Arabidopsis thaliana: one gene and its partners. The protein of the gene in region 1 interacts with the protein of each later gene in a pairwise test. Each region holds a gene or a part of one and is shown in the gene's direction. Other genes may lie near its edges.

The links.
Region 2: the proteins of AT1G68360 (region 1) and TCP10 interact in binary tests that used the Arabidopsis thaliana proteins (3 or more experiments, as listed by UniProt).
Region 3: the proteins of AT1G68360 (region 1) and AT5G51910 interact in binary tests that used the Arabidopsis thaliana proteins (3 or more experiments, as listed by UniProt).
Region 4: the proteins of AT1G68360 (region 1) and TCP9 interact in binary tests that used the Arabidopsis thaliana proteins (3 or more experiments, as listed by UniProt).

What each region holds. Positions count from the first base shown.
Region 1 is NC_003070.9:25,619,125-25,626,267, reverse strand, and holds AT1G68360 (C2H2 and C2HC zinc fingers superfamily protein), read left to right. Parts: upstream 1-3,674; 5' UTR 3,675-3,855; coding exon 3,856-4,590; 3' UTR 4,591-4,735; downstream 4,736-7,143. UniProt on the Arabidopsis thaliana protein: Probable transcription factor required for the initiation of inflorescence trichomes in response to gibberellin and cytokinin. Acts upstream of GIS, GIS2, ZFP8, and the trichome initiation factors GL1 and GL3.
Region 2 is NC_003071.7:13,218,138-13,226,769, reverse strand, and holds TCP10 (TCP domain protein 10), read left to right. Parts: upstream 1-4,160; 5' UTR 4,161-4,700; coding exon 4,701-5,786; 3' UTR 5,787-5,792; intron 5,793-5,907; 3' UTR 5,908-6,292; downstream 6,293-8,632. Other genes in the region: EMB2785 (elongation factor family protein), read left to right, coding at 8,226-8,564. UniProt on the Arabidopsis thaliana protein: Plays a pivotal role in the control of morphogenesis of shoot organs by negatively regulating the expression of boundary-specific genes such as CUC genes, probably through the induction of miRNA (e.g. miR164). Participates in ovule development.
Region 3 is NC_003076.8:21,091,859-21,099,293, reverse strand, and holds AT5G51910 (TCP family transcription factor), read left to right. Parts: upstream 1-3,402; 5' UTR 3,403-3,485; intron 3,486-3,591; exon of another isoform or gene 3,592-3,686; 5' UTR 3,687-3,708; coding exon 3,709-4,590; 3' UTR 4,591-4,728; downstream 4,729-7,435. Other genes in the region: AT5G51920 (Pyridoxal phosphate (PLP)-dependent transferases superfamily protein), read left to right, coding at 380-2,092; AT5G51900 (Cytochrome P450 family protein), read left to right, coding at 4,840-5,301, 5,347-5,613; AT5G51890 (Peroxidase superfamily protein), read left to right, coding at 6,959-7,171, 7,261-7,435.
Region 4 is NC_003071.7:18,818,790-18,826,890, reverse strand, and holds TCP9 (TCP family transcription factor), read left to right. Parts: upstream 1-5,001; 5' UTR 5,002-5,103; coding exon 5,104-6,174; 3' UTR 6,175-6,649; downstream 6,650-8,101. Other genes in the region: AT2G45695 (Ubiquitin related modifier 1), read right to left, coding at 147-264, 361-443, 527-608, 826-848; SSE1 (shrunken seed protein (SSE1)), read left to right, coding at 1,290-1,358, 1,663-1,720, 2,011-2,230, 2,315-2,879, 2,954-3,021, 3,203-3,264, 3,365-3,426.

The sequences.
Region 1 (7,143 bases):
AATGTTTTAGCAAACCCACCGAGCCGAATTCTATGATCATGTGCTCCATTAAAGAGAGATCTCAAGAGATTTAAAAAGATAATAATAATAATTTAAAGCATCTTCCACACACTTCTGAATGAACTTTATAATATCATTTCATATCTATATAACAAATCAATTCGAGTAGGGATTTCTTTCAGTGTGAATTTAATTTCTAGATGACTATTTACGATCAAACTTAATTTATTTACAATTTTATCACCCGTCGTTTTTTCATAGTAAGCTATTGTTGGTATGAGAAGAGATATTAAAAAGAAGATAGACGGAAACAACCAAAAACTAATTATGTAGATTATCGTGGAAGATATAATTAAAAGGTAGACAAGATGGGACATTTCTCCACCCCTAACAAAGACTTTAGTTTTATGAGGGTTCACACAATTATTAATCTTTAGTTTTTGTACAAAGTAAAGCCTTAATCCAATCTCAAACCACCCAATTAACTTTTAATTGAGTTAGTAAGATTCGCAGATCTCTGAGCCCTCTATATATAATTATATTTCCAAGTATTATAATTGATATAGAAAAGGTTATTAACAACGTGTGTGTGTGAATTTTGACGTCAATCACGCGAACATACTCGTGAAACAAGGTTTCGTCATTTGGCACGTAATTCGTGGGGAACATGTTAACATCTGAGACTTTATTTTGGTCGTTCCTCGTTTTTTCCTTAACAAACCCCACTTTTAAGTAGTTTCCACATTACTTAGCTTTCTCTTCAAATTCCTTTTTTTCACCAAACTATCTTTACTTATTCAGAGGTTAAACTGAACATTCTTTCAAATCGAGATTTCGAAAGTTTGATATATGTTTAACTCGAAATTATTGGTACCATAGTTGAATTATGTGCAGCTATAGTAATTCATTATAACTCATTTAAAAATGTTAACCATAGATGGTAAAATAGTAATTTGTGTTTGTAGAATTGCTACGTTCCCATTCAAGTTTAAACCCATATAAAACATTTTTTTGAGAGAACAAAATTACGTGGTAAAACATGTTCAAAAATAAAACTCATTTTTTTATCTATAAACCTAAAAGATCTCTAACATGAGTTTTTATTAATTTATTAAAATGATCGATAATAATTAAAACTCGGTAATCTATAGATTTTAGGGGTTAATCTTCTGTTAAAAAATTACTTATTATAATATTAATATATACATATATATATATATATATATGTTGCAATTTTTTTTTTAATATGTAAATACACTATAACTAAACTCACAACTCACTTTGAAAGCAAACTAAATTATGATAAGTATAAAAGAATTGCGTTGACAATTTTTACCTTAGGCCCCAAAGTGTGGTACATGCAAACATATATTTCTAATATAGTCATAATTAAAGACATCCTTACTAGATGTAAGAAAGTAAATTGCAATTATAGTTCATAAATTTAAGTTATTTGACTTTCATTAAAATTTTGAGATCGTATCTGAAAATAGATACGCACGATAATGCGACGGAGACACGTGGGACACACAGAAGTGAGATGTGGGACTTTTGTTCCTTTTTTATTTTCACATCTTCAATTAGATTCTCATGTTTCTTTGTCACACATTTCAAACTTTTTGGCTTCTGGGTCACTTCAGATCACATCCCACATTATGATTTGTCTTTTTTTCTTTCTCTTTCAATTAACGAAGCAATTTTATGTTTGTGATAACATTTGTTTGCATCTACTCTATCTTGACTTTACTAATCACTTTCCGTCTGTCGGCATCTTTTTACTTTGTACTAATACATATTTTGGGTGAAATTTTAAGTAAAATATGAAAATACTAATTTAAAAAACATAACTGTTGTTCTAAATTTTTGGATGGTTTTAGAAAAAGTTTTTAATTAGTTTTCTACATATATATATTAATTTAATTTAGCCAACTACAAAAAATAAATAAAAAAAAATTGTTGATTAAACGACTTTGTAAGTGATTAACTTGATAAATACTTAAATTTTATGGTCAATTGCATGAGAGTAAAACATTAAAAATACTTAAGATTTAACGAGTTTTCGGTATAACAATCGGTACATTTCGTGGGGACTCTCCCCTCTAAAACATCAACTATAAACTTTGGATTACAAATTCTGTAAGTAAGTCACTTTCAAATCATCATCTGGGTTACAAACCAAGTCGAGATATGGAATCAAGAATTAAAAAAAGAGGAACAATAGGTAACTAAAGAGATGGAATATCAAGACAATAGGTAACTAGAGAGATGGAATATCAAGACAAAAGGAGGAATAATGTATAAGTTAAAATGTTTATGGTCTCTCGACTTACATATGGTATTGAAATTTGGAAGTTACAATAATTATACAAATTGGATGTTATTCCAACTTAGGTCTAGGTATCACGGGACTTTCTTGAGTAGCTTTAGAAACTCTCTCATTGTATTTGTAGGTTAATATAAAATGACTTAGTCTACAGACGACAATACATTCTTAGCTAACAAACAAAATATCCTAAAAATTATTGACTGCTCTAGATTAGATTACCAACTGTCCGGATCAAATTTATTTATAAAAGAAATTCAGATTATATATATTTGTTTTATTCTGAGAAAACGTCAGATGTTAAAGAATCAAGAAAGACCCGTTACAATATCTTGTGAATGTTTGTTCCTTTCGTTTCATTATGAGAGCGCAACAAACTAACACACTATCATGGTCATATTAGCTTATGTGAACAAGAACATAAACTTATGTTTCCGACGTTTTAGTTGGAATTGATAAACAAAATTGGAAAGAAGTCAGAGTTCTAGGAGGAAAATGAGTACTTTATATCTAGGACTAGTTTGATATATAATTCAATATGTTTATTATGGATGAGTTGTTTTGAGATTTAGGCGATTGCATCGTAGAAAAATCAAGTTTTTTTTTGTGGGATATAAAGAGTTTTTTTAAGAATTTGTGAATCTTAAATTAGATTAAGGAGCGCTAGTGTCTTAAACATTAGGTGTACCTCCATGAAATTAAATCTACTAAAACATTTGCCATTAACAAATCTCCGAACTTAGTATGTTGCTGAGAATATATTTGCATCGTAGAAAAATATGTTCAAAAAGTTTGCAAAACAATAAAAAAATATACCAAAACAAATTAGTCTATACAAATTTTTTGTGGTAAATTAAATCTCTCATAGTTACATTTAAAAACTTCTTTCACTTATTTTTAATTTCAAAATAAATAGCAAAATCAAGTTCGTAAATAACATAATTTACATGAAACGCATAGAACGCATCAAATCAATGGTTTTTTACTTTTTTTTATTAATCATTTAGAAATTTATTTTTAAAAAAAGATTTGTAATTTTTTTAAAACAAGTATGTCGTAATTATTATTTTTTGCTTCAGAATCACATTAAAAAGTAGGTGGAAACATATGAATTTTCCCGAAGAGAACTAGTAAGAATAAACACATAAAAGTAGAGCCAAACTGAAACTTCCTTTCACATGAAAAAAAAGGAGACAAATGAAATCCAATAGGGTCCCATTATCCATGTCGTCTCGGTTCGTGTGTTCCTCAAACTCCCACTTTCACTGTTCTTTTTCTTTCTTCTTGGGATGTCCGAAAAATAAAACAAATACGTAGAAAACAAAAACCAAAGTTAATCACACAACAATCTCTCATATCTTTCACACAACACACACTTGCACAGTGTCTCCCATGTTACTGTACAAAGTCACATCTCAGTTTATATAAATATATGCCCTCACTCATCAACCTCCTCTTATTATAAGCCTTATTCAACATATCTCTTTCTTTCTTTCTAATTCTCTCTCTCTCTCTAAAGACATACATATTTAATGGAGGAGCTGGATTTTAGTTCAAAAACAACAACTTCTCGTCTAAAGCTATTTGGATTTAGTGTTGATGGAGAAGAAGATTTCTCCGATCAATCAGTCAAAACTAACCTATCTTCTGTATCACCGGAACGTGGCGAGTTTCCGGCAGGATCTTCCGGAAGAAGTGGCGGTGGTGTACGAAGCCGAGGCGGAGGAGGAGGAGGAGGAGAACGTAAGTATGAGTGTCAGTATTGTTGTAGAGAGTTTGGTAACTCACAAGCCTTAGGTGGTCACCAAAACGCTCACAAGAAAGAGCGTCAACAGCTTAAACGTGCTCAGCTTCAAGCTACACGAAACGCAGCCGCAAATTTCTCAAACGCTGGATCAGCGTCTCAGTTTTTAAGGAATCCTATAGTCTCTGCTTTTGCTCCTCCGCCTCATCTTTTATCATCATCCGCCGTGCCTCAGCCTATGGGAGGTCCTTGGATGTATCTTCCACGTGTTTCTCCATCTCAACTTCACGTGTCTCATGGCTGCGTCATCCAAGATGGTTCGGGTGGTGCGGGTGCTGGTGGGTTCTCGTACGAGTATGGGGCTCGTGATTCAGGGTTTGGAGTAGTTGGGGCTCAGATGAGACATGTTCAGGCCCATGGGCCGAGACCATCGGTTAATGGGTTTTCAAGAGAAGTAGGAACTACTTTTGATGATGGTTTAGGGTTGGATTTGCATCTCAGTCTTGCACCTGCTGGTCATTGACGTGTTTTTTAAAGCTCTTGTATATTTATCAACATTTTAATTAATTTATTTATTTTTAGTGATTTTTTTTTTCTCTATCAGTATTTTTAATTAATGACTTTAAATTCCAGTGATTGTTTGCCTAATAAATATTTTACTAGTTTAGACTCCAATTATGCTTTACTACCACAAAAAGTAGAGTCTCAAAATGCTTAACCAATTCATGAAAAAACATTCCAGAAGGTAATATTTGTTGAGACTCCAAGAAAAAAATATAAACAATAGGACCAAAGACTAAAAATATAAAAATAAACGTTAGGAGATAAGTTGTCAGGTGCACTGAAAGTGATTTTATAGAATGTATGTTTAAACACATACAAAATAATAATTCCAATATTCAGATCCATTAGATCAATCGTTTTTCAAAGCCTTTTTATTGTCAGGCCAATAGAATGCAAAGATGAGTATGAAAACTCTACACCTTTACTCACAAATTTGCTTCAAAATTGTGCTTAAAATTAGTCAAAAGGGACACGCTGCAACCTTTTTCGGATTGCGTTTGAAATTGATACGCCTTCAAATCTGTTCTGAAGTCCTTTTTTTTTTGGACAAAAGCTGTTCTGAAGTCTATGCACAAATTACTTTTGGAATTCTCACAGTTTTGACATATTGGTTTTTAGAACCAAAGTATAGAAAATTATTACTTTAGATTCGAAAATTGTTGGTAGGCCTCTGTTTTACAACAATGGAAAAAGTTAATCTACAATTAGCATCGTAGTAATTATGTACAGCTTTAGTGAGTTTTGGTCTATGGTCTTGTTAGTCGATTACACAGTTTTGTTAGAATTAAATTTAGTAGATTACCCAATTTGGTTAGAATTAAAATTACTTCTCTAACACAATTTGGTTATAATTAAAATTTTCTCATATTTAGGGATTGTAGGACCACTATAATCTTTTGGTCAATATGATTCAACTCCAGGTTTTCAAAGTCAAATACTCTCAAATCTTCAGTTAATTATTCCCTTTAGGAGCATACATGTAACCACTAGCAACGGCTATAAAGAGAGATGTCAACATACATAGAGATAGAGTTTTGGTATGTGCAATCTACATGCATATACAAACCCGGGTCGAAAATACAATTTTTTAAATGATTGTGACAACGTGATACGTTTTCTTCGACTTTAAATATCACTAGGCTCCTATATATCTCATAATTAAGGCATACAGGTACTTATATAATGGAGGTATCTTACACTATGCTAACATTTTGTTTATTCTTAAAACATATATTTTCTAACGAATGTGGATATGTAATACCAAAAGAAGAACAATTTTTAATAATAAAATAGCTTACCTCAACATTTAGAAAATACTACATGTCACAAGCTAGGAAGAATCCTCGGGTCCCCGAATTTGAAATTATAAAATTAATTTAATTAACAATCGTATACTAATATGTAGGGGGTATAGGTATACCAGCGCATTTCGTGTTTCAACATGAAATGGGATCCTAGTCACCATGAGCAAATAAAATATACATGACCTAAAGCATATTTGTTTTTTAGATACTTAACAATGCAATTGGCACATATGTATGTGTCTATGTGTGTTTATAGTAAGGTGTGATGGGAATTGGAGCAGTTGAGTATTTATATACTTATAAGTTTAGAAAGTAGTTTTGAACATTGCTTGGTTAGAAACTTTTTTTTTGGTTTATTGTGTAGTTAGACACTTAGATGATGTGTTGGGGTAAAATTTTAATCTGCACGTAAAACATTTCTCTACCGGTCAGGGAAAAGTACGTTTCCATTATTTCAGAAAAGTTATCTTCCAAATTTCTCAATTAGAGAGACGTCATCATTAATTAGTCGACGATCCTACAAAACTCAAATTATTTTTCCCACTGAATACAAAAAACAAATATGATGAATTGTGTACATATACATTTCAAGTGTTATCTGTGTCTTTTTTTGTTACGAAATAGCTATCTCATCCGCATCATCGAAAATTCTGCCTTTAACCGCGTAGTCTCACTCGGGTACCAAGAATCCAGCGAATATAGAGATTTTCTTTGTCAATATTTCCATACAAGAGGATTCTCTTAAACATTATTGTTCTATTCTTTTCTACTTCTCTTCTCTCTTTTTTTTTGGGTGGCATTCTACTACTCTTCTCTTAGCAATAGTCTTTAATTTTTTTTTTTTTTTTTTTAATCAGTAAACTTCACCTCAAAAAAATAACAATATTAAGTGTATGTTTCATGTTTGTATATGTAAAAGGTACTTTTTTTGGAGGGAAAGTTTTTTCGTAGTCCCTAAACGTGCTTTTTTGCTGCACCATGTGTCCTTTTTAAGGAATCATCTAAGTCCTTATCACACCATCAATCATGCAATATATACACCCTAATCTAAAAGATACCCACTAAATTTTTTGCTCTTGAGGGTACGTCTTATTTATGCTTTTGCTTTACCAGTCTGACAATTACACATATACATTGCATATAATCTCATTGGCTTACAATATCAAAAACATTGGATCTTCAATAATGTATCATGCATGCACATATGC
Region 2 (8,632 bases), on another chromosome or scaffold:
TTTGGAGACTGGATAAATGAGTTGTCCTTGATTGATTTAGGGTTTAAGGGCAATAAGTTTACTTGGCGGAGAGGGAGACAAGAGAGTACTGTAGTGGCTAAACGACTGGACAGAGTTTTTGTTTGTGCCCATGCTAGGTTGAAGTGGCAGGAGGCTGTAGTGTCCCATTTACCTTTCATGGCGTCAGATCATGCTCCTTTGTATGTCCAGCTGGAACCGCTTCAGCAGGTCGATCCTCGTCGGCGCCCATTCAGGTTTGAGGCGGCATGGTTGAACCATGAGGGCTTTAAAGAGCTGCTGAGTTTGTCTTGGAGTGTGACTTTGTCCCACGCCCGATGCGTTGAAAGAGTTGCAGCGGAAGTTGAGAAAATGGAATAGAGAAGTGTTTGGGGACATTCACGTGCGCAAAGAAAAGTTGGTGGCAGATATAAAAGAGGTTCAGGACCTGTTGGGAGTGGTGTTGTCTGATGATTTGCTAGCTAAAGAGGAGGTCCTATTGAAGGAAATGGATTTGGTGCTGGAACAAGAGGAGACTTTGTGGTTTCAGAAGTCACGGGAGAAATACATTGAGTTGGGTGATCGAAATACAACTTTCTTTCACACCTCAACAATTATCCGCAGAAGGAGGAATAGGATTGAGTCATTAAAAGGAGATGATGATAGGTGGGTGACGGATAAGGTGGAGCTGGAAGCTATGGCTTTAACATATTATAAGCGGCTGTACTCGTTGGAAGATGTTAGTGAAGTCCGAAATATGTTGCCAACTGGTGGCTTTGCATCCATATCAGAGGCGGAGAAGGCAGCGTTGCTCCAAGCTTTTACGAAGGCTGAAGTGGTTAGTGCGGTGAAGAGTATGGGACGGTTTAAGGCACCAGGACCCGACGGCTATCAACCAGTCTTCTACCAACAGTGTTGGGAGACAGTGGGACCCTCAGTGACGAGATTTGTGTTGGAATTCTTCGAGACAGGGGTTTTACCAGCTTCCACGAATGATGCTCTGCTTGTGTTAATAGCTAAAGTGGCCAAGCCGGAACGCATTCAGCAGTTTAGACCGGTGAGCTTATGTAATGTTTTATTCAAAATAATTACGAAAATGATGGTGACCCGGTTGAAGAATGTCATCTCTAAGCTAATTGGGCCGGCCCAAGCGAGTTTCATCCCTGGGCGTTTGAGCATTGATAACATTGTGTTAGTACAAGAGGCAGTCCACTCTATGAGGAGGAAGAAGGGGCGGAAAGGCTGGATGTTACTCAAGCTGGACCTTGAAAAGGCCTATGACCGTGTTAGATGGGATTTTCTTCAGGAAACGTTAGAAGCTGCTGGACTGTCTGAGGGTTGGACAAGCAGAATAATGGCAGGAGTTACAGACCCTTCAATGAGTGTACTGTGGAATGGTGAGAGAACAGACTCTTTTGTACCGGCTAGGGGATTGAGACAAGGGGATCCGTTGTCGCCGTATTTGTTTGTACTCTGTTTGGAGAGACTGTGTCATTTGATAGAGGCGTCAGTTGGAAAGAGAGAATGGAAACCGATAGCAGTGTCATGTGGGGGGTCGAAGTTGTCACATGTCTGCTTCGCAGATGACTTGATTCTCTTTGCAGAAGCTTCGGTAGCGCAAATTAGGATCATTCGTCGGGTGTTGGAACGGTTCTGTGAGGCCTCGGGACAGAAAGTCAGCCTAGAGAAGTCGAAAATATTTTTTTCTCACAATGTGAGTAGAGAAATGGAGCAATTGATAAGTGAAGAGAGTGGGATTGGTTGCACTAAAGAGCTGGGGAAGTATTTGGGTATGCCAATCTTACAGAAACGAATGAATAAGGAGACGTTTGGAGAAGTGTTGGAAAGAGTTTCAGCTCGGTTGGCGGGTTGGAAGGGCCGATCTTTGAGCTTGGCAGGGAGAATCACTCTGACAAAAGCGGTTCTGTCTTCTATCCCGGTTCATGTAATGAGTGCGATTCTTTTACCGGTCTCTACGCTTGATACTTTGGATAGATACTCCAGAACTTTTCTTTGGGGGAGTACTATGGAGAAGAAAAAACAACACTTGCTATCTTGGCGTAAGATATGTAAGCCGAAAGCTGAGGGAGGGATCGGATTACGGTCTGCTCGTGATATGAATAAGGCCTTGGTAGCCAAGGTGGGGTGGCGTCTGCTTCAAGATAAAGAGAGCTTATGGGCACGGGTTGTTCGCAAAAAGTACAAAGTGGGTGGAGTACAAGATACTAGCTGGCTGAAACCACAACCAAGATGGTCCTCCACGTGGAGAAGTGTGGCAGTAGGGCTCCGGGAAGTGGTGGTTAAGGGCGTTGGATGGGTGCCTGGAGATGGGTGCACAATAAGGTTCTGGTTGGATCGCTGGCTGTTGCAGGAGCCGTTGGTGGAGCTTGGGACTGATATGATACCGGAGGGGGAGAGAATAAAGGTGGCAGCCGATTATTGGTTGCCGGGATCAGGTTGGAACCTGGAAATTCTGGGTTTGTATCTGCCAGAGACAGTTAAGAGGCGGTTGCTCTCGGTTGTGGTTCAGGTTTTTCTGGGTAATGGAGACGAGATATCATGGAAGGGTACACAGGATGGGGCCTTCACAGTCCGCTCTGCGTATTCCCTCCTACAAGGTGACGTTGGAGACAGGCCGAATATGGGGAGCTTCTTTAACAGAATCTGGAAGCTGATCACGCCTGAGAGAGTACGGGTGTTTATTTGGTTGGTGAGCCAGAATGTGATCATGACTAATGTGGAGAGAGTCCGGCGCCATTTGAGTGAGAATGCTATATGTTCGGTGTGTAATGGAGCCGAGGAAACAATACTCCATGTGTTGCGTGACTGCCCCGCTATGGAACCGATTTGGCGTCGGTTGCTGCCACTGAGACGACATCATGAGTTTTTTAGCCAGTCTTTATTGGAGTGGTTATTTACAAATATGGATCCAGTAAAGGGGATTTGGCCTACTCTTTTTGGTATGGGAATTTGGTGGGCTTGGAAGTGGAGGTGTTGTGATGTGTTTGGGGAACGAAAGATTTGTCGGGACAGGCTGAAGTTCATCAAAGACATGGCGGAGGAGGTGAGGAGAGTACATGTTGGTGCTGTTGGTAACCGGCCTAATGGTGTGCGGGTGGAAAGAATGATCAGGTGGCAGGTTCCAAGCGATGGGTGGGTGAAAATTACCACGGATGGAGCGTCCCGTGGGAATCACGGGCTGGCTGCGGCAGGAGGGGCCATCCGGAATGGGCAGGGGGAGTGGCTAGGTGGTTTTGCACTAAACATTGGATCTTGTGCAGCGCCATTAGCCGAGTTATGGGGCGCCTACTATGGGCTGCTCATTGCGTGGGACAAGGGGTTTCGACGAGTGGAGTTAGACTTGGATTGCAAGTTGGTGGTGGGTTTTTTAAGCACAGGGGTAAGCAACGCTCATCCGCTGTCCTTCCTGGTACGGTTGTGCCAAGGCTTCTTTACGAGGGACTGGTTAGTCCGTGTGTCACACGTGTATAGGGAAGCTAACCGTCTCGCTGACGGGTTAGCAAACTATGCCTTTACCTTGCCGCTAGGGCTTCATTGTTTTGATGCATGCCCAGAGGGAGTCCGTTTACTTTTGCTCGCAGATGTTAATGGAACAGAGTTCCCTCGAGCTGTTTTATTGTAATTTTTTGTAGTTTGTTCTTAATAAATTGGGGTAGGCAATTGCCACCCCTCAGCTTACCAAAAAAAAAAATCATACTAGAGTCAAATTATTCCATTGTCGACTTTGATTAGCATGTAATCCTAAGCCGACCAATGTGTGTGTATGTTGTGTGAAACATATGCTTTTCAAGTTTTAATTAATTAGTGAAGGAGGATTTGACATTAACCAAACAAAATATTACAAATTGGTGTAACTAAGATATGATATATGTTCATTTATTGATGTTTTTCAATTTTCCTATATTCCTTATTATATGATATATATAGTTATGTATGTTTCAAGAATTCGATATGGCACGCATGATTGAAGAATAATGATTGAGGAATTTTTCTGTAACAAAAAAATTTGAAATAAACAAATATGTGGCTAAGAACTTAACAAGGACACATGTTGATATGTGAAATAGGAATCTTATAATAAGGAACAAAAGGTTGAAAGCAAAAGGGTATTTATTTAGTTTACTTTCCTATTCTGAACCCTTAACTTCTGCTATCCTTTCCACCAACAATCTAATAGTATACTCTCTCTCTTTTTTTTCCTCTTCTTCTTCTTGTCCTTCGATTTTAGACCAACTAAACATATCAATATATTAAAGTAGCATCTCTCTCTCTCTCTCTCTCTCTCTCTCGCTCTTTTATTTTTAATATCAATTTTGTTGTCCAAATTCTCATCTCTTTGGGAAAACCCTAGACTAAAGATTCCAATCTCTTTTCTTCTAAATATTTCTTCATTTTTTCCCTTTTTTGATTTGGGTATGTTGGGTCATTGAATCTTGTGACTGCCATGGCAGATCTTTTGGGGATCTGCATAGAAGAGTTGCTTCTTGTAGCAGCTTTCAGGTAGCTGTGTCCAGCCTGCATCAGATGTTATTAACTCACTACACACCAAACACCACAATAACAACAAAACGGCAAGCATTTTGAAGAGGTAAACAAAGCAAGTGGGCAACAAAAACGGCACGCAAGTTTTTCTTCCAAGTTAAAACAACTCTTGGAATGTCATTTTGAAAGGTAAAAAAATAATGGGACTTAAAGGATATAGCGTCGGAGAAGGAGGAGGAGAGATAGTTGAGGTTCAAGGCGGTCACATAATCCGAGCCACTGGACGCAAAGACCGTCATAGCAAAGTGTTCACATCAAAGGGTCCACGTGACCGGCGCGTGAGACTCTCAGCTCACACGGCGATTCAATTCTACGATGTGCAAGACCGGTTAGGTTATGACCGGCCTAGCAAAGCCGTTGATTGGCTCATCAAGAAAGCCAAAACCGCTATTGATAAGCTTGAACTCGGGGAGACTACTACTACTACTACTCGTCAAGAACCGGTGAATACTAAACCGGAATCTCCCACTTTGGTTTTCCAAAGAGAGAACAATGACCAAACGCAGTTCGTGGCGGCCAATCTTGATCCTGAAGACGCAATGAAAACGTTTTTCCCGGCGACGACAACAACAAACGGTGGTGGTGGTACAAACATCAATTTCCAAAACTACCCTCATCAGGATGACAACAACATGGTCTCAAGAACAACAACACCACCACCAAACCTTAGCCAAGATCTTGGTCTCTCTCTTCACCCATTTCAAGGGAACAACAACACAGTCGTAGTTCCCGAGACCAACAATTTCACCACGACTCATTTCGACACGTTCGGGAGAATCTCTGGATGGAATCATCACGACTTAACTATGACGTCATCATCCTCATCAGAACATCAACAACAAGAACAAGAAGAAAGGAGTAATGGTGGTTTCATGGTGAATCATCATCCTCACCATCATCATCATCAACCGTCGATGATGACATTGCTTAATAGTCAGCAACAACAAGTGTTTCTTGGTGGCCAACAACAACAACAACAAAGGGGTACCCTTCAGTCCAGTTTATTCCCTCATTCGTTTCGTTCTTGGGATCATCATCAAACGACGTCGGATCATCATCATCATCAGAATCAAGCTTCTTCGATGTTTGCTTCATCATCACAGTATGGTTCTCATGGGATGATGATGATGCAAGGCCTTAGTTTCCCCAACACTACAAGACTACTCCACGGAGAAGAAGCTACTCAACCAAACTCTTCTTCTTCTCCTCCAAACTCACACCTCTAAACTAAGGTTTGCTTCTTCTTTTTAATGTATTTATATATTTTAAGTATAATAGGTTATTAATCAAGAAACCAGACAATAATTAAATCTTTCATAATTAAATTACCACATGTATTTCTTTCAGACAACCATGGAGGTTCAAATTCATGATGACATGCATTGAACAAGAAGGAGGAAATTAATGTGATGAATGGAGCTAGAGTAAGCGCTATATTAATTAGTATTACCATCTATCCATATATTTATGATTCAAGACTATTATTACTCATTTAGTGTTTGTTATTATTATTCAATTTTGCTTGTTTGTTTCTTATCATCTTTGCATTGATCATCAAGATTGTGATATTTGAAAAGATGGGTTTTATGTGTGTTTTGGTTTAGTACTGGCGTTAGGCTGGGATATTGTAATCTCATATTTTTGTTCTACGAGTGAGTTTGAATTTTCTGGTTTTTACTTGCGGTTTCTATTTCTTCGGTTAAGTAAAGAGTAATTGAAGAACGTTAAAAGCATAGGTCGTATTACATGAGTAATGAAGAAAAAGGTGTTCATTATCATCTGTGCAGATACCAATTTTCTTTTGTAATATAGCTTAGCTTGCTAAAAAGTTGCGACTATTTAATAGAAAAGTCAAATTTATTACAAATTTGGGATTTTTATGAAAAAGTTGCTATTGAGTATTCAATGCTTTGTGACAGTGATACCAAAGGATCTCGATAGTTTAGTCTGCTTTACTTGGTCTAATTGGGTTTGACAGAAGATTTTTCTATAATTCATCTTGAAATAATTGTTTTAGTCATATAGATAGGCGGGCTATATAGAGAATGACATTTATCACTTTTTGGCACTTTTACATATAGTATATATATATGTACATATATTTGGTTTGATGAAATACATGATAATATATTTAGGTTAAAGGAGTTTGTACTTTGTTGTCACATGATGATCATTAATATTTTTCCCAACGATGATCATCATTTTTATACAAGACGTTAAAAGCTACAGAATGTTCGTACTTTTAAAAGTCATCTACTGCGAGAATGACTACTTTGGCCTTTTGATTATGGATTGTGCTTGGATTATTAGAAGAGTTCAACAAAAGGATTACAACTTCCATCTACAGTTTTGTTACAAAAGGATTGTACTATATGTAAGTGTAACCCAACAAACCTAAACCAACAGACAGGAATGCGGTAGAGCAAACCGGTACAATCAAAATCAAACACCCTTCATAAAACTATATCGGATACGCCAAACAATATGAAAATATATGTCTCTGTGTTTAGTTTTTTTCGTGAAAATAAGATTCCGAGCAATATGAAGAGCTAAAGTGTTGTCACTGTAGAGTACACAGAGAGAGCATAAGAAGCATGCTTTATATATTTACATAATATAAAACCAAAATATATATTTACATAATATAGGCAATCCAAACATGTTCACAAATTCCAAGAGCCATAACTTTGTATTTAGCTTTGATAGACAATGAAATGGATGAATTTTCATTGAACATAAAATCCAAGATACATAGTACATACGAAATTGTGGATAACTTGCCTAGTCATAAGCAGTGAAACCTCAAATATATAGGTCTAGAGCAGCAAAGTAAAAACAAGCTTTGTCCAATGCTTCCTTTAAGAAACAAACAATCTTATGAACTATATGTCCCTTGGTGCATATGAGAATTGACCTTGTTTACCACCAAAAGAAACATTATCAGACAACATCTCGAAGATGTAACTTGCGTTGACAAACATAATGGTTTTTTTTTTATCTAACAATTTCCAAAATAGATAAGTACCGAAGATGACCAAGATCCTTGAGTTGGAAGTAATTAAATAGCCGAATTGTCAATTACAAAAAAGAACCAAAATATCATATGGTATCATCCACATAAACCAAAATACCAACAAAACTTTACCATAATACAATATATATGATCAACATTAAATATTATCAAATCTCAAATAAAAAATAATAAAGAGTTCTAAGAACATTTGTGGATAGATCATAAATAGATTTATAAAGTTTGCAAAAATCTATCATGAATTCTCCTTTTCGTCCTACAAATATTACATAACAATATGTAAACCACTTCATCCATATAAGCTGAGTCAAATTCTCAGTTCATCTTCGCTATATGTATCAACTTATCGGAATCACTTCTATTATTAATGGAAAAACCGAATATCACATAATGAGAGGTTTTAATTTCTACATAAAACTATAAAAGCCATGGTTGTATAATCAAATAGGACTGTGGGAGTAATATAAGCAATTGAAAAGTATAGGGAAAATATAAGATTCTACAAGTGATAATGTCCTATTTTGTAAATAACGATCAAATAAATTCCAAACAGTTTTAGACCAAAAACCCTTTGGTCATCGTCACCAGAGATTAGATCTAAAACCCTATCAGAGACCATTTCGCGTGAACAAAGATGGCGGGGCCTTTGCTTCGATCTCTTTGGTCAAACACCACTCGAAGATCCTTCTCTTCTCATTCATCACCTTCCAAATTCGGATACTCGCTCTCCTCCTTACGCTCCTTTTCAGCAGCCACCGCTTCCACAGCTGCAGCCGGAGCTCCTAATAGCTCGCTTGACCCTAATCGACTAAGAAACGTGGCTGTGATAGCTCATGTCGATCACGGGAAGACAACACTTATGGACAGGCTTCTTCGTCAGTGTGGTGCTGATATCCCTCACGAGCGTGCTATGGATTCTATTAATCTTGAGCGTGAACGAGGGATCACTATTTCTTCAAAGGTATCGCCTTTCGTATGTTTGGATTGGAATTAGAGTTAATTGTTACTTCACAATTTTGAAAATGGTTCTGTTTGAAAATG
Region 3 (7,435 bases), on another chromosome or scaffold:
TAACTATTGGCTGTTTTTGTTTACTCAATTGGGCATAGTGGTATATCTTAGCATGTAAGCATTGTAAATAGCTAAGGAAACAAAAGTGAAAAAGAAAACACTTTCTTGACCACTAAACTCTACGCGTTCTAAAAAAAAACACTTGCGGAAACAAGACAAAGTGAACACTTTTCAGTATTTTCTTGATAATCATCATTATTCCCGCCTAATTTGCTTCTGCTTTTCTTTTTAGTGTAAAAGAAAAGAGAAACAAGCTTTTGTCTTAGGTGCACTACTTTTATAAACTTTAGACTTTAGCGTATTTATTTAACACAAGATAGGCTAATGACTTGACAATTACAAGAGTCATAAATCTTTTGCACCCAAAAAAAGAAGAAAAATGCACCAACCCTTTCCCGGAGATTCTTCACCACCAAACTGCCTTCACGGCTGCTTCTCATCGTCACCATTTCACGGTACCACCAGCTCCGAACACCCACCACATTCAACCCCCACCGTCACTTCCGCTACTCTCCGCCGTAATTTCGCCCAAACCACCGTCTCCACCATCTTCCCGGACACCGAATTCACCGACCCAAATTCTCTTCCTTCTCATCAAGAATCTTTCTCCGATTTCATCCAAGCTTACCCCAACTACTCCGACACTTACAAGATCGACCGTCTTAGATCCGACCACTACTTTCACTTGGGTTTATCACATTACACATGTCTTGATTACATAGGAATTGGTTTGTACTCTTACTCTCAGTTGCTCAACTACGACCCTTCCACTTACCAGATCTCTTCTTCCTTGTCTGAAAGTCCCTTCTTCAGTGTTTCTCCCAAGATTGGTAACCTTAAGGAAAAGCTTCTCAACGATGGAGGTCAAGAAACAGAGTTTGAGTACTCAATGAAAAGAAGAATAATGGGGTTTCTCAAAATCTCCGAGGAAGACTACTCAATGGTCTTCACCGCTAATAGAACTTCTGCTTTCAGGCTCGTCGCCGAGTCTTACCCGTTTAACTCAAAACGGAAGCTCTTGACGGTTTACGACTACGAGAGTGAGGCGGTGAGTGAAATAAACAGAGTCTCTGAGAAACGTGGAGCCAAAGTAGCTGCAGCTGAATTCTCATGGCCAAGACTCAAACTCTGTTCGTCCAAGCTGAGAAAACTGGTTACTGCTGGGAAAAACGGAAGCAAGACGAAGAAGAAAGGTATTTACGTCTTTCCGCTTCATTCTAGGGTTACAGGATCTAGGTATCCGTATCTATGGATGAGTGTGGCACAAGAAAATGGGTGGCATGTAATGATCGATGCATGCGGTTTGGGACCTAAGGATATGGATAGTTTCGGGCTTTCTATATATAACCCCGATTTCATGGTGTGTTCGTTCTACAAGGTGTTTGGAGAAAACCCTTCCGGATTTGGTTGCTTGTTTGTCAAGAAATCCACCATATCGATTCTTGAATCTTCCACTGGTCCAGGTATGATTAACCTCGTACCTACCGACAATCCGATTTCATTACACGCGTTGGAAATCAACCGAACACAAACAGATTCGGAAGAAACATATAGCTTTAGCTCTAGTGTCGAATACAAAGGCCTAGATCATGTAGATTCACTAGGGTTGGTAGCAACAGGGAACAGATCAAGATGCTTGATAAATTGGTTGGTAAGTGCTCTCTACAAACTCAAACATTCAACAACTAGTCGTCTAGTTAAAATCTACGGTCCGAAAGTTAATTTCAATCGAGGACCAGCGGTTGCGTTCAATCTATTCAACCATAAAGGCGAAAAAATCGAACCTTTTATCGTGCAGAAGTTAGCCGAATGCAGCAACATCTCACTCGGTAAAAGTTTCTTGAAGAACATCTTGTTCCAAGAAGACTACGAAGGCGTGAAAGATAGAGTTTTTGAGAAGAAAAGAAACAGAGACGTCGACGAACCAAGGATCTCTGTTCTCACTGCTGCGTTAGGGTTTCTTGCTAATTTCGAAGATGTTTATAAACTTTGGATATTCGTTGCTCGGTTTTTGGATTCAGAGTTTGTTGATAAAGAGAGTGTGAGATGTGGAGTTCATGTTTTTGAACATAAGAACCGTGAAGTAGTCTAGTTAACATATAGCCTAGTTTTGGCTCGGTTTGCTTTGGTTCACTTCTTACATCAGAACCGGTTCAAGTATCAATGAAAATTTTGATTTTTGTTCAGTACAAAGTCAGCGTCAACATTAGCGTCCAAGTAGCACCTCTATCTCCCACTAATTTTGATTTTGCTACTGATTCAAAAAAAAATAATTAACTTTCGAAAAAAGGTAGCTCATATATATTTATTTACAATTCGCTCATTCCTAGATGTCAAGTAGATATGAACGGGGCAAATGAATGCCCAATAACTAAAATAAACCCATATCAGCTATATATTTCTTCGGTTGTTAAAAATTTTGATTTTATAAAATTTATTGCACAAATGATTTTCTAGATGTTATTTTTATTTTTATTTTTAGTATGATAAATACTAAATTTCAAAATGCAATGATTGAAAATAATTAAACTTTTAATTTTATTAGCTCATAATTAAACTTAAAAATATTTAATATAAAAAATGTTAATGATTAGATAATGTTTTTTTTTTAATATGTGAAAAAATCCCAAACATCAATCTATTATAAAAATATGGAATAATACTTTTATTTAATCTATTTTTTTAGTAGTCAACATCAAAAGATTATTACAAATGACCAATGTTGATAATTTTAACTTATAAATATAGTATTAAATAATGAATAGTGAATTGTTTTCTTTTTGGCGGGTGAAACCTTATTTCCAAGCTTCATACTCTAGTCTTCGAGAGTCATGCTTAGTAATTGACATTTTTTGTTGCCATCATTTCTTATAAAGCTTACCCTAAGCTTGCAAGAATATTTACCGAGTAGTTTGGAATCTTGGTGTTGTAAATCATGCACTATTTGTTTTACTACGCAGTTCCAATCTTCTCGTGGGGACCAAAGTTTTTCAACCTTGTATACAACAAAATCAACAAGGGATTAGGTACACCAAATTGGTTTTTACGAAAACAGTAACATGCTATCAAAATAGAGACTAGTCGTTTTGGTGATAGAATTCAGACCAAGACAATAATGGTTTTACTTGTCAATAATACTCAGAAATGAACATAAGCTGCACTTGTCAATAGTACTCAGTTTTGAGATAGCTAAGTTTTGTATTGCCCTAGTTATGGCTCGGTTTTGTCCAATTCGGTTGGTTTGGTTCACTTCTTAAATGGAAACCGGTTCAACTGTACAACTATCAATAAAAAAAAAAAAATTAGCTCCACAACATGACTCTTGTGATGTGGTCGAGGCCAAGGCCCATTAGTTAGCTAAAACAGGCCCATATGAAGTATGTGATCTAGACCGTTGATTTGTAATGGGACTATATAAAAATAAAAACGATGATCTTGAGGGCCCCTTCTTCCATCTTTGTAGGGTTCTTCGTGCAGAGGATAAGGTTAGCTGTGGTTTTTTAATTTTATTTTTCTACCTTTGTAGGGTTTCCTCACTTTTTTTTATCCACTGTTCTTTAGTTTTCAATCTGTCAAATTCAAACAGATAACATTTTTCGTCAAAAGAATCAGTAAAAACTAAACATTTTGACTATATCCTACTTGAATCAATTCTTCGGCTGATTTTGAAGTTTTGTGACATTCAGATATTCTAGGGTTTTGTGGTAAATGGAATCGAATCACGAAGGCAACGCGATACAAGTGATTGACCAAGTAACAACCATGACCCATCTGTCTGACCCGAATCCGAAAACCAAACCGGGTATGATGCTCATGAAACAAGAAGACGGGTATTTGCAGCCGGTGAAGACTAAACCGGCTCCGAAGAGACCGACTTCTAAAGACCGTCACACGAAAGTAGAAGGACGAGGTCGGAGGATCCGAATGCCGGCGGGTTGCGCTGCTCGGGTCTTTCAATTGACCCGTGAACTTGGTCACAAATCCGACGGAGAAACGATACGGTGGTTATTGGAACGAGCTGAACCGGCGATAATTGAAGCAACCGGAACCGGAACTGTACCGGCTATTGCTGTATCGGTTAACGGAACTTTAAAAATCCCGACGAGCTCTCCAGTGTTGAATGACGGCGGCCGTGACGGTGACGGTGACCTAATAAAGAAACGGAGGAAGAGAAACTGTACGAGCGATTTCGTAGACGTTAATGACAGCTGTCATAGCTCCGTTACTTCTGGGTTAGCTCCGATAACGGCGTCAAACTACGGCGTTAATATCCTGAACGTTAATACACAGGGGTTTGTGCCGTTTTGGCCTATGGGTATGGGTACTGCGTTTGTTACTGGTGGGCCGGATCAAATGGGCCAAATGTGGGCTATTCCTACCGTTGCTACAGCTCCGTTTCTGAATGTTGGTGCTAGACCGGTGTCTAGTTATGTCTCAAACGCTTCAGACGCTGAGGCGGAGATGGAAACGAGCGGTGGCGGAACGACGCAACCGCTGAGGGATTTTTCGTTGGAGATTTATGATAAGAGAGAGCTTCAGTTTTTGGGTGGCTCAGGGAACTCATCTCCGTCTTCATGTCATGAGACTTAAGGAATTTTAACTCTTAGTTCTAGTTTCTTTTTAGTTTTTAGTAAGTTTGATTCCTGATTTAGGTTAAGTAAGATTTGTAAAAGAATTGGGAGCACAATTTCAATTTTATGTTTCTGTCAAACATTTTGGTAATTAATGGAACTATCCTATCATTTTTAAAAAATAAATCAAAATGAGATTAAAAATGAGTCTGCTAAAACGCCAGAGGTTGAGTCTGCTAAAGCTCTCGACACAATAGTAGAAGGAATAATGTATAGGCACGTTAAACCTAGATTCTCGTGGAAGCTACAAAGCTGGATCGGAGTTGGGATGGAGAAGAAGATGATAGAAGCTGGTGCCATTTTTGATCGAGTGTGTGGGAAATACATATCAGCCAGGAGAGAAGAGGTAAAAAGATCACAAGTGAATAATAATGATCATTTCATTAGAGATAGTCATGCAAATCTTTTGACATCTCACATAAAGCTTGATACAACCCAGTACCAGCTCTTGGATCCTATCAATGATAAATTCTTAAGAGACAATGTCTTTGCTTTACTTCTAGCTGGGAGAGATACCACTGCCTCTGCTCTCACTTGGTTCTTTTGGTTTTTGTCCGAAAACCCTCTAGTGGTGACCAAGATTCGCCAAGAGATTGACATGAATCTACCAAGAAGTTGTAGTGGCCAAGAGAGACCATCTTGTGATCCAATGGAGTACTTAAACAAAGATGTACTTAAACAAGATTTTGGTCTTTATTTATGGGGTGGTGGGTAGGATGAGAGCTGTATGGGGAGAAGATGCATTAGAATTCAAGCCAGAGAGATGGATTTCCGAGACCGGAGAGTTAGCATTCAATGCCGGTCGAGAATATGCCATGGTAAACAAAGAGCTATGGTTCAAATGAAGATTGTGGCGGTGGAGATATTACAAAACTATGACATCAAGGTTGCCAACGGGCAGAAGTTTGAGCCAGATACTAGTTTAATTCTTAAAATGAAGCATGGCTTTAAGGTTAAGATTAACAAGAGATGTTCATCTTGATATTAGTGAAATAATCAAGTTCTTTTTTAAGTTCTATTTCGAAACCATAGCCTAATTAAGAGTATTAATAAGGAGACAAGTTTAAGTGTGATCTACCTTGAGGTTTAGTTTTTATTGTAGACAAATTATAGTAATGGTTTTTTAATGATTTCAATGACAGTTTAGAAGAATGTAACTCTCGATCCAAGAATGATAATTCATGAGTTAGTAAACTGATGAAATCAAAAAAGAAATGTTGTTTCAATTATTATACTGTACCATTTTTATTTCTACGAATTACGAAACCATTTCTTCTCTACCGAAACTAAAGTAAACTAAACCGTAACAAAAAATTTTGTTTCTTTGTTTTCAACCGTATCCAAATTATGTATCCAGTTTTTTTTGTTTTTTTTTTTTTTTTTTTTCTCATTGTTGACAAAATAAGTAATTTTCTAATTTAAAATTTTCTTCAAAAAAATTTATTATAATATCCGTAACTACAATGCAAATAGTGCCGTACACGTGAGAAGCAAAACAAAAAAGATGCAGAAAAAAAAATAGTACCACAAAATCCTTCACCAACCGTACTGCGAAGCCAAGGCAATTGAAACCAAACACTGATAGGCATAACTCAACAGTAGTTACCCTTTTTTGACCATCTTCTCGTTTAATTCTCTTCTTTATTCATTTTCAATCTTACTCTATCCACACACACACGAACACATCAAAATGCCACCATTTTACATCTGATTTTTAGTCTTCATTACTCATATTTAAGCTTAAGTTAATAACCACAACAACCACCTTTTCATGTGGTTTATTTGGCACCATCCGTATTCTAAACCGTTCGTGTTCTTTCCTTATTTGGCACCATCAAGATTCTATTTACAATATTTTTTTTCAAGTGGCAAAACAAAAACAAATTACAATTTTTATAAATTAATTGAGTTAAAGAAAATTACTTCCAGGTTCCATTAATGTATCTAAAAATATTTAAGTAAAATTTTAATTACAATAACATCCATTTATTTTATATAAAAATTTTAAAAAACGTTTTAATAGATTCTTTTAATAGTTACCAAAAACAGATTCTGTCCAGCTCTTCTGCACCAAAGTACATGCTTAGACTCAAAGTACGATTTTAGGGAGAAAAGAATTTGAATACTGGAATAGATACATGTTTGTTCCAAATAATTTGAGTAACTTTAAAGCATATGTTATACACATACACATTTTCTAGAATATTAGCCTCTCATTTCTCTCCTTATATAAGCCAAATAGTCCCCGCTTCTTCTCATTCATCAAATCCTCAAACAACTTCAAGAACAAAGAGTGCTTTTCGAGGCCCAAAACACATTACCATAAAATGGCATTCTCGAAGGGACTCATTTTTGCGATGATATTTGCGGTTTTAGCGATAGTTAAGCCCTCAGAAGCTGCTCTTGATGCTCATTACTATGATCAATCGTGCCCTGCTGCTGAAAAAATCATACTTGAAACTGTTAGGAATGCTACTTTGTATGATCCCAAAGTGCCTGCTCGTCTCCTAAGAATGTTCTTCCACGATTGCTTCATCAGGGTATGCATCTTGATCTTCTTTATTTGATAGTTGATTGTTGATCCAGTTATATATGAAGTTGAGTTTTGAGTAAGGTTGGATTGTTGTAGGGATGTGATGCGTCCATTCTACTAGATTCGACACGGTCAAACCAAGCTGAGAAGGATGGTCCTCCAAACATCTCAGTACGGTCATTTTACGTGATCGAAGATGCTAAGAGAAAGCTCGAAAAGGCTTGTCCTCGTACCGTGTCTTGTGCCGATGTAATCGCCATTGCCGCCAGAG
Region 4 (8,101 bases), on another chromosome or scaffold:
AGTATCTGTTAGAAAGGACACTTAAAATTGATAAATACTCTAATATCAATCTTCCAGTAAACAAATACATAAAGTTTGGGTAGTCGTAGAGATTACAAACAACAAGTATCAAAATTTGTTACAAAATCCTAGACAATCAGATCTTTTTATCCACCATGCAAAGTGGAAATGAAAACTACAACATCTTTATCTTCGATTACTGTATCGAGCTGACCACTTAGCTCCCAATCACAGTCATTCACCAGCACAAGAACCCCAGGTCTCCTGCACAACAGTTATTAACCTTCATTGAGCTTAATAAAGAAGTCTTAATGAAATCTTAACCTACAATGAGCTGATAAAGAAGAAAAATAGTCTTACACAGTATCTCCTTTCATGAACATCTCAGGTCTCTCTTTGATCAGATTTGTACGAACCCATGAAAGCAAATGCTTCATGGTAAACTAATCCAGGAATCAGAAAAGTGGAATGAGTGAGAGAAAAATTGCGAGCTTTATGATCCAAAAACATAAGAACTCAAGCTTACATCATCAGAGTCAGCTCCATTGGGCAAATCAACGTTTACTTTATGAATCTTTTCAGAATCACAGAGCAGCTCTAACCCACCCCTACACATCACATGTCAAGTTTCACTCTTCTCAATCATTGAACAACAACTAAAACACACACATGGTTCAAGTTCTTAAATTTCAGTATTACATACAATCAATCAGGAAAATAATCTCAAAAGACACCAAGTCAAAATCAGAACTTTAGTGAGGTAAAAACTAAAAACGCTACGAATAACAAAACTCCGATTACGAAAAGATTAAGTGATAATCGTACCCGAATTCAAGAGTTAATTGCATCGTCGTTGATGTTTGCAGGAGGAACCAAATTCAAAACCCAGCTCTTCTAGGGTTCGTTCGTGTGGTGTTGTTGTTCACTGTAAAACGACATCGTTCAGGTTGAAGACATGTTGGGCTATTTAATTGGGCCTAAAAATATACTACAAGATAAGGCCTATTACTTTTCCCGATGAATCATCATCTTATGTTAAAAAATTACTTATCGCATCGTAACCGTTGATTACAGGAACTGTAACGTATCAACGGACGATATTGATTCCTAGTTTGTCACTGAAAATAGAAAATAGATGGTGCCTGATATTTTTCCAGCGACCGGCAAAATTGCAACCAGGAAGAGAAAGAAAATCAGAGATTGATTTAACGTGAATGGAATTTTGTTGTTTCCCAATTTCTTCTGAGAAATAGCAAAGTTCAGTTTTGTTTCTCTCTATCTGAAGCTCAATGGAAGCTTATAAGCAATGGGTTTGGAGAAATAGAGAGTATGTACAATCCTTTGGATCCTTTGCCAACGTAAGATTCATTTTTATTACTCTTCTCCTTAATTTATTTTCCAGTTTGATTATGTTCTGATTCTCTGTCGATTTGGGTTTGTTTTCGTCTCGTCGTTAGTGTCAATTTCTAAGTTTTTCATCGTCTGCTTGTTTGAATATTTTTTGCTTGAAGGGTTGTGTTTTAAAATCGAAGCTTTTATTTATTGGGTTTAAGAATGAAAACCCTTTGAAAAAATTTAAGAGTTGAATCAGTTCGATCTTTTAATTCGTAGTTGTGGAATTCATCAGCTGATAGTTCGTCAAATATGTTTGTTTTGTTGCAGGGATTGACATGGCTGCTTCCTGAGAAGTTTTCTGCTTCAGAGATTGGACCAGAAGCAGGTTTTGTGATACTTTGGTAACATTTTACTGCTTTCAATCTTAGAATAACTGTTTCCTTTATCCCTGTTAGCTCCTAAAGTCTCTTGTCTGAATAATGAACACTGTCCTATACTCAGTTTTATCGGTTCTTCTCAAATTACATACTTCACTTGTACCTCCTCACATGTTTCGTGTCCTAAGTCTTTAACATTAGAACCTTCAAGTTCCAAAGAATGTTTCTTTCTTTCTTCTTTTGTCAGTTTTGTGTTCATGGAAGTGTGATTGAAGTTTTTTGGTAATCTTCTTTGTAGTAACGGCTTTTTTGGGCATATTCTCAACGATAAATGAACACATAATTGAAAATGCTCCAACACCTCGTGGCCATGTTGGATCTTCCGGGAATGATCCATCCCTTTCTTATCCACTACTCATCGCCATCCTCAAGGATTTGGAAACTGTTGTGGAAGTGGCAGCTGAACACTTCTATGGAGACAAAAAATGGAACTACATTATTCTCACTGAAGCTATGAAGTAAGCTTGCTTTCTTCTGATCACTTGGATCTACACAACCTACTTAGTTGGCATTTTGATATCTTGAAAACTTTGAATTTTCAGGGCTGTCATTAGGTTAGCCTTGTTCCGGAATAGTGGGTATAAGATGCTTCTTCAAGGAGGGGAAACACCTAATGAGGAGAAAGATTCTAACCAATCCGAGTCGCAAAATAGAGCTGGTAATTCGGGTAGAAATCTCGGGCCTCATGGTCTTGGAAACCAAAATCATCATAATCCATGGAACTTGGAAGGACGGGCGATGTCTGCTTTAAGTTCATTTGGTCAGAATGCAAGAACAACAACATCTTCTACCCCCGGTTGGTCTCGAAGAATTCAACATCAGCAAGCAGTTATAGAGCCTCCAATGATCAAGGAGAGGCGAAGAACGATGTCCGAGCTACTTACTGAGAAGGGTGTTAATGGAGCGTTGTTTGCGATTGGTGAGGTTCTTTACATAACGAGACCGCTCATTTACGTTCTTTTCATCAGAAAATATGGAGTCCGATCTTGGATTCCTTGGGCTATATCGCTTTCTGTGGACACACTGGGGATGGGTCTTCTTGCAAATTCGAAGTGGTGGGGAGAGAAGAGCAAGCAAGTCCATTTCTCAGGACCTGAAAAGGATGAGGTTAGAAATCTCTTGGACCTCAATACAACAGTAATGTTGAACCGATTTAACTCATATTCTTGTTACTTCTTCAGCTGAGGAGACGAAAACTGATATGGGCATTGTACCTCATGAGAGATCCATTCTTCACCAAGTACACAAGGTGAGTGTTCTTATGGTTTCAATTATGGCATTTTCTGAAATGGGAAAAATTGAAACCGAAGTGGTTCATTTCCTCTTGGCTCTTATGTTAATATTAGATTTGGTATCCCTGGGTTTTAGGCTTAAAGCTTAAGCTATCGCGGGTTACTAATAAATCAAATATGCTTGTCTTGCAATTGCAGGCAGAAGCTGGAAAGCTCTCAAAAGAAGCTGGAACTAATTCCATTGATCGGATTCCTCACAGGTTTACTTTTTAAAGCTTTCATTTCATTCACGAGATCACTGATTGTCTTGTCTACTTGCCATCTACTGACCTTATTTTGGTTCTCTCATGGAAATTGCAGAGAAAATTGTGGAGCTTTTGGAGGGAGCTCAGTCACGGTACACTTACATATCGGGATCGTGAGGTTAAGCGTTTTACTTATGGTTTATATGCAACGGAAGAATATTGCCATTGTTGGAATGCTTTTTCAGATCATCAAAGGCTCCTACAGATTTCTTAGGGAATGGTTTCAGGCTTTTGTTAGAAATTGTGTTTATTGCAACAGGTAGAGAACATAACCATAGACAGATGTATCTGAAGAGATAAGCTTCTCTATGTCTAAAGAAATGGACCGATACGAATAAAACAAGCATCATTAAAGATTAAATGGTTTGTAAGAAATACTACACTTATTTATGTGAAATTGTGTGGTTAGTGAAAAGTAAAAACATCGGAATCCAAAACCTCAAATTTACCAATCAGCCCAAATTATTGATGCTGGCGTAATGAATGGTATGCTGATGGTAGGCAAAAGTTGGTGGCTGCGAAAATTACAACATTATCCCTCTGTGGTGGACCCGAATCTGTAATCGGAAAAGGTGGAACCCACTTGGTTTAACTTTTAAGCCTAAAAGGTTACTACCGGTTTGACCGGTTTATAATTTGGTGTTTAATTCTAATCCCGGATCCGTTTGTTTGTTAATCTCAAGGCCACGTTATCGCCAATATTTTGATTTTTGAGTGGGTAGGGAATGGTGGGGTCGAATAGTTGGGCCTAGCCCTCAACAATGTGTGGAACTGAAGAGAGTAGGGTCCAGCTCAGGCCCACATTCACATTTTCGTTTTGTAGCCTTTCTTTTCTGGTGCTTACGGTCCCTCTTTCTGGTCGGTCGTATGTACAAGTAGCATAGCTAGTGGTTCAAACCCGAAACAAGTACCAACGAATCAAAATAAGTTTGAATCGGTTACATCTAGTTACCGTCGAACTTACAATCATTTCGATTACTTTGATCTGATTTCTAGTTCGGTTTGTATGTTTAATATCCGGATTGTACAAGTACACAAGTACATAAGTATGCGTATATGTATGTGACCGGTTTAATCAAAGGACGGACGATAGGAGGATTTTGGAATCCTGGAAAGAGGATTATTCCATAGACACTAATTAGCTTTTTGGTGGCGCAGCCTTGTGACCTACATTAATGGGGTCCAACCCCAAGTATGGGCTTACAGCTTTTTCCATAAAATTAAAGTAAATCTTTTTTTGCCTAACCAATAAAAATTATTGAAAATCTTTCCAACCATAGAAAAGTTAAATTTGATCAGCGATGGAAATTTTTGTACAAAGCTAGGTATTTCATTTGGGAGTGTACTAGTAACTAGTAAGTACTAACCAGAATGAGTTTCTGATTTTGGATTTTGAAGCTTTTCTTAGGTTAAAAAACAAGTATATTACTAAACAATAAAAGAAAAACATTTTGTGAAAAGAGAAATAAAGTTTACTGGACCCCATTGTACAGATGGTCCCATAATAATACTGATAGAAGATAGAGCAATGGAAAGTGATTTGTTCACGTGGTACAATCGGAATGGTTCTTTAAAGCTCATCGAACACATCAGGACCGTTGATTTTTCCCGCATCAAAAAGCGTTGAATACTATTCTCACTTGTTTTCCTGCTCCTATATATATATCCTGACGAGTCACATTTAGTAATCTCCTTGGACGTGTAACGCCGTTAAAACGATTCTTTCCCATTGTATCCGCTTTTAACAACTCTCGTCGTCATCTCCACCGTCCGTTTTCTCTCAGCTATATTTTAATGGCGACAATTCAGAAGCTTGAAGAAGTTGCAGGCAAAGATCAAACTCTAAGAGCCGTTGATCTAACCATCATCAACGGCGTCAGAAACGTCGAAACTTCAAGACCTTTCCAAGTAAATCCCACAGTGAGTCTCGAGCCCAAGGCGGAGCCGGTGATGCCGTCGTTTTCAATGTCTTTAGCTCCACCGTCTTCGACAGGACCACCATTGAAGAGAGCTTCGACTAAAGACCGTCACACGAAGGTTGAAGGAAGAGGGAGAAGGATACGGATGCCTGCCACGTGTGCGGCTAGGATTTTTCAATTAACTCGAGAGTTAGGTCACAAATCCGACGGCGAAACGATTCGGTGGTTGTTGGAGAACGCTGAGCCGGCGATTATAGCCGCCACGGGTACGGGAACGGTTCCCGCCATCGCCATGTCGGTTAACGGAACCTTAAAAATCCCGACGACGACGAACGCTGATTCTGATATGGGTGAAAATCTGATGAAGAAGAAACGTAAACGACCTTCTAACAGTGAGTATATAGACATAAGCGACGCCGTTTCAGCTTCCTCCGGTTTAGCTCCAATTGCCACGACGACAACGATCCAACCTCCGCAAGCTCTGGCATCATCCACTGTGGCTCAGCAACTTCTGCCGCAAGGAATGTATCCGATGTGGGCTATTCCATCAAACGCAATGATTCCGACGGTCGGAGCTTTCTTCTTGATTCCACAAATCGCTGGTCCGTCGAATCAGCCTCAGTTATTAGCTTTTCCCGCCGCCGCTGCTTCGCCGTCGTCTTACGTCGCCGCTGTTCAACAGGCTTCCACGATGGCTAGACCACCTCCTTTACAAGTTGTTCCAAGCAGCGGCTTTGTATCCGTTTCAGACGTTAGCGGTTCGAATTTATCAAGAGCGACGTCGGTTATGGCTCCGAGCTCAAGCTCAGGCGTAACAACCGGTAGTTCATCGTCAATTGCAACAACAACGACGCACACGCTGAGAGACTTCTCCCTAGAGATATACGAGAAACAAGAGCTTCACCAGTTCATGAGCACCACAACAGCACGGTCATCGAACCACTGAAGAAAAGAAAGGAAACGGCGGCGTATTAGTGATCGGAAAAAAAGCACGTGTGCACATGAAGAAGTGCACGTGTTAAGAAGTGGGCCTCGATTTTAGGCAGAAGTGGGTCAACACGCACCAAAAAGAGAGTGGAGGGAGGAGGAGAGGGGCCACACGGCTCCCACCTTACGCATAGCTTCCGAGGCAGCCAGGTTGGGTGTGGTCCCCAAATGGTTAGAGCTACGTGGTCCGTATGAGTAGGACCAGCTTAAGCTTAAGCATAATTCGAAACGTTTCGTTTTTTTGGTGGGGGCTCACCACTTTGTCTTGACTTTTTTGGTCTTTGTAATTTTACAAAATAAGATTTATTGAAGCCCTCTCTAAGTCATGGTCCACTCAACAACAATTGTGATATTGATGTTTTGATTTTATTAAAATCTGTAACAAAATAAATATTTCTATCTAAAATGAAAATACTAATGTTGTTTTCCTAAAATTGTTGTAGCATTACTTTTCAAATGATTCCATTTTCTTACAAGTGTTACAAAAGCTTTTTGCGAAAAAAGTCTCGTCCGTGTTATTGGCGGGGCCTAGTAAGCTTGATTGTACCACTAATACGGCGTTGTTTCGTGGGGCCTGAAAGCTTCCCACTCAAGGGACGCCTAGTTGGGTCAGCACCACCAGTTTAACGCTAAGGAAATAAAGGAACAGCCTGGCGTGGGTCATACTTGTGTCTATCTAATCTTTACCGTTCAATTCCATCGTCTTGTCCTAACCGTTGATTCTATTTCGTTCGTTGTTTAATTAGTACTAGTAGTAGTAGATATTTTCTTCTTGTCTACGGTCTCAACGCCAGACAGGATTTACTATAAGATAACTTTGTTTATGTTTGATTTATAATTCAAGTGTGGTTGGTTAAAGTTAAACCATGGTTCTCCGTTTCACACCGTTGATTATATATTTTTTTAAGATATGTAGGAAGTAAAACTTTAAAAGGTTAAACACAAGGTAAAATGTATTATTGGAGGCCTAAACCAACTTGGTGGCCGTGGATGGGGAAAAAAGGTCCAGAAGTGTTGGCTATAGGATTCCTCGTGGACTTAGAGAAATGACTTGTCGTTCTCTTCTTTTATTTCAGTGGACCTCATTAATTTTTATATATAGTTGGCCTATAAATTTATAAATGTTCCTTTATTTTTCTTAAAAAACAAAAAGGTTTTAAATCAAACAGCGGGAAACCAGCCCAATGCTTTTTTAATTTCTTGATTAAGCCCAAAAAAGGGAAAAAGTTGTATGGGCTTACATAACATTTAGGACTAAGGCCCATTATTTTGCGAACAACACAAAATTGCTTACATAACAATTGCTACGATTCATGTTGCAGAAGAACACCGTTTTTGTTTTTGTTTCTTAGCCTTAATTTAATTGTTTGTATTCAATTGTTTTTATCATTTAGAATTTTGCTTCGTCCTTGTCGAAATCCTCTCTTATGTTCTTGGGTTCTTATGTACTTATTCTTTTCTTTCTTGTTCGTTCTTTTTTCAAGTTATGTGAAGTAATATTTGTCAATGATTTCAAAGTAAGTTGTTAAAGGCTCAAGAAACCAAATCGTTATCTATTATGTCACTAATAAAATTCTACTAAATATATATAATTCTTCTCCTTTTTTTACTTGCCGATAATTGTATCCTATTTACAATGAAATAACGCAAAAGACTTGGCGTATTATCTTTTGACACACGTTTCAAGTCAACGATTTCGACATCTGCTTTATTCTATTGGTATGTCGACCAAGATGTCAATGAAGGGGTGGACAACGATTTACTGTTTTCAAATATCTGGATTATTAACCTCTGGATGTTATCTATATTTTAGAAAATCTGGATACCTCCACAAGAACAACATCCATGTTCCGAACTAAAAAATGGAATCATATAATTTCTGTTTT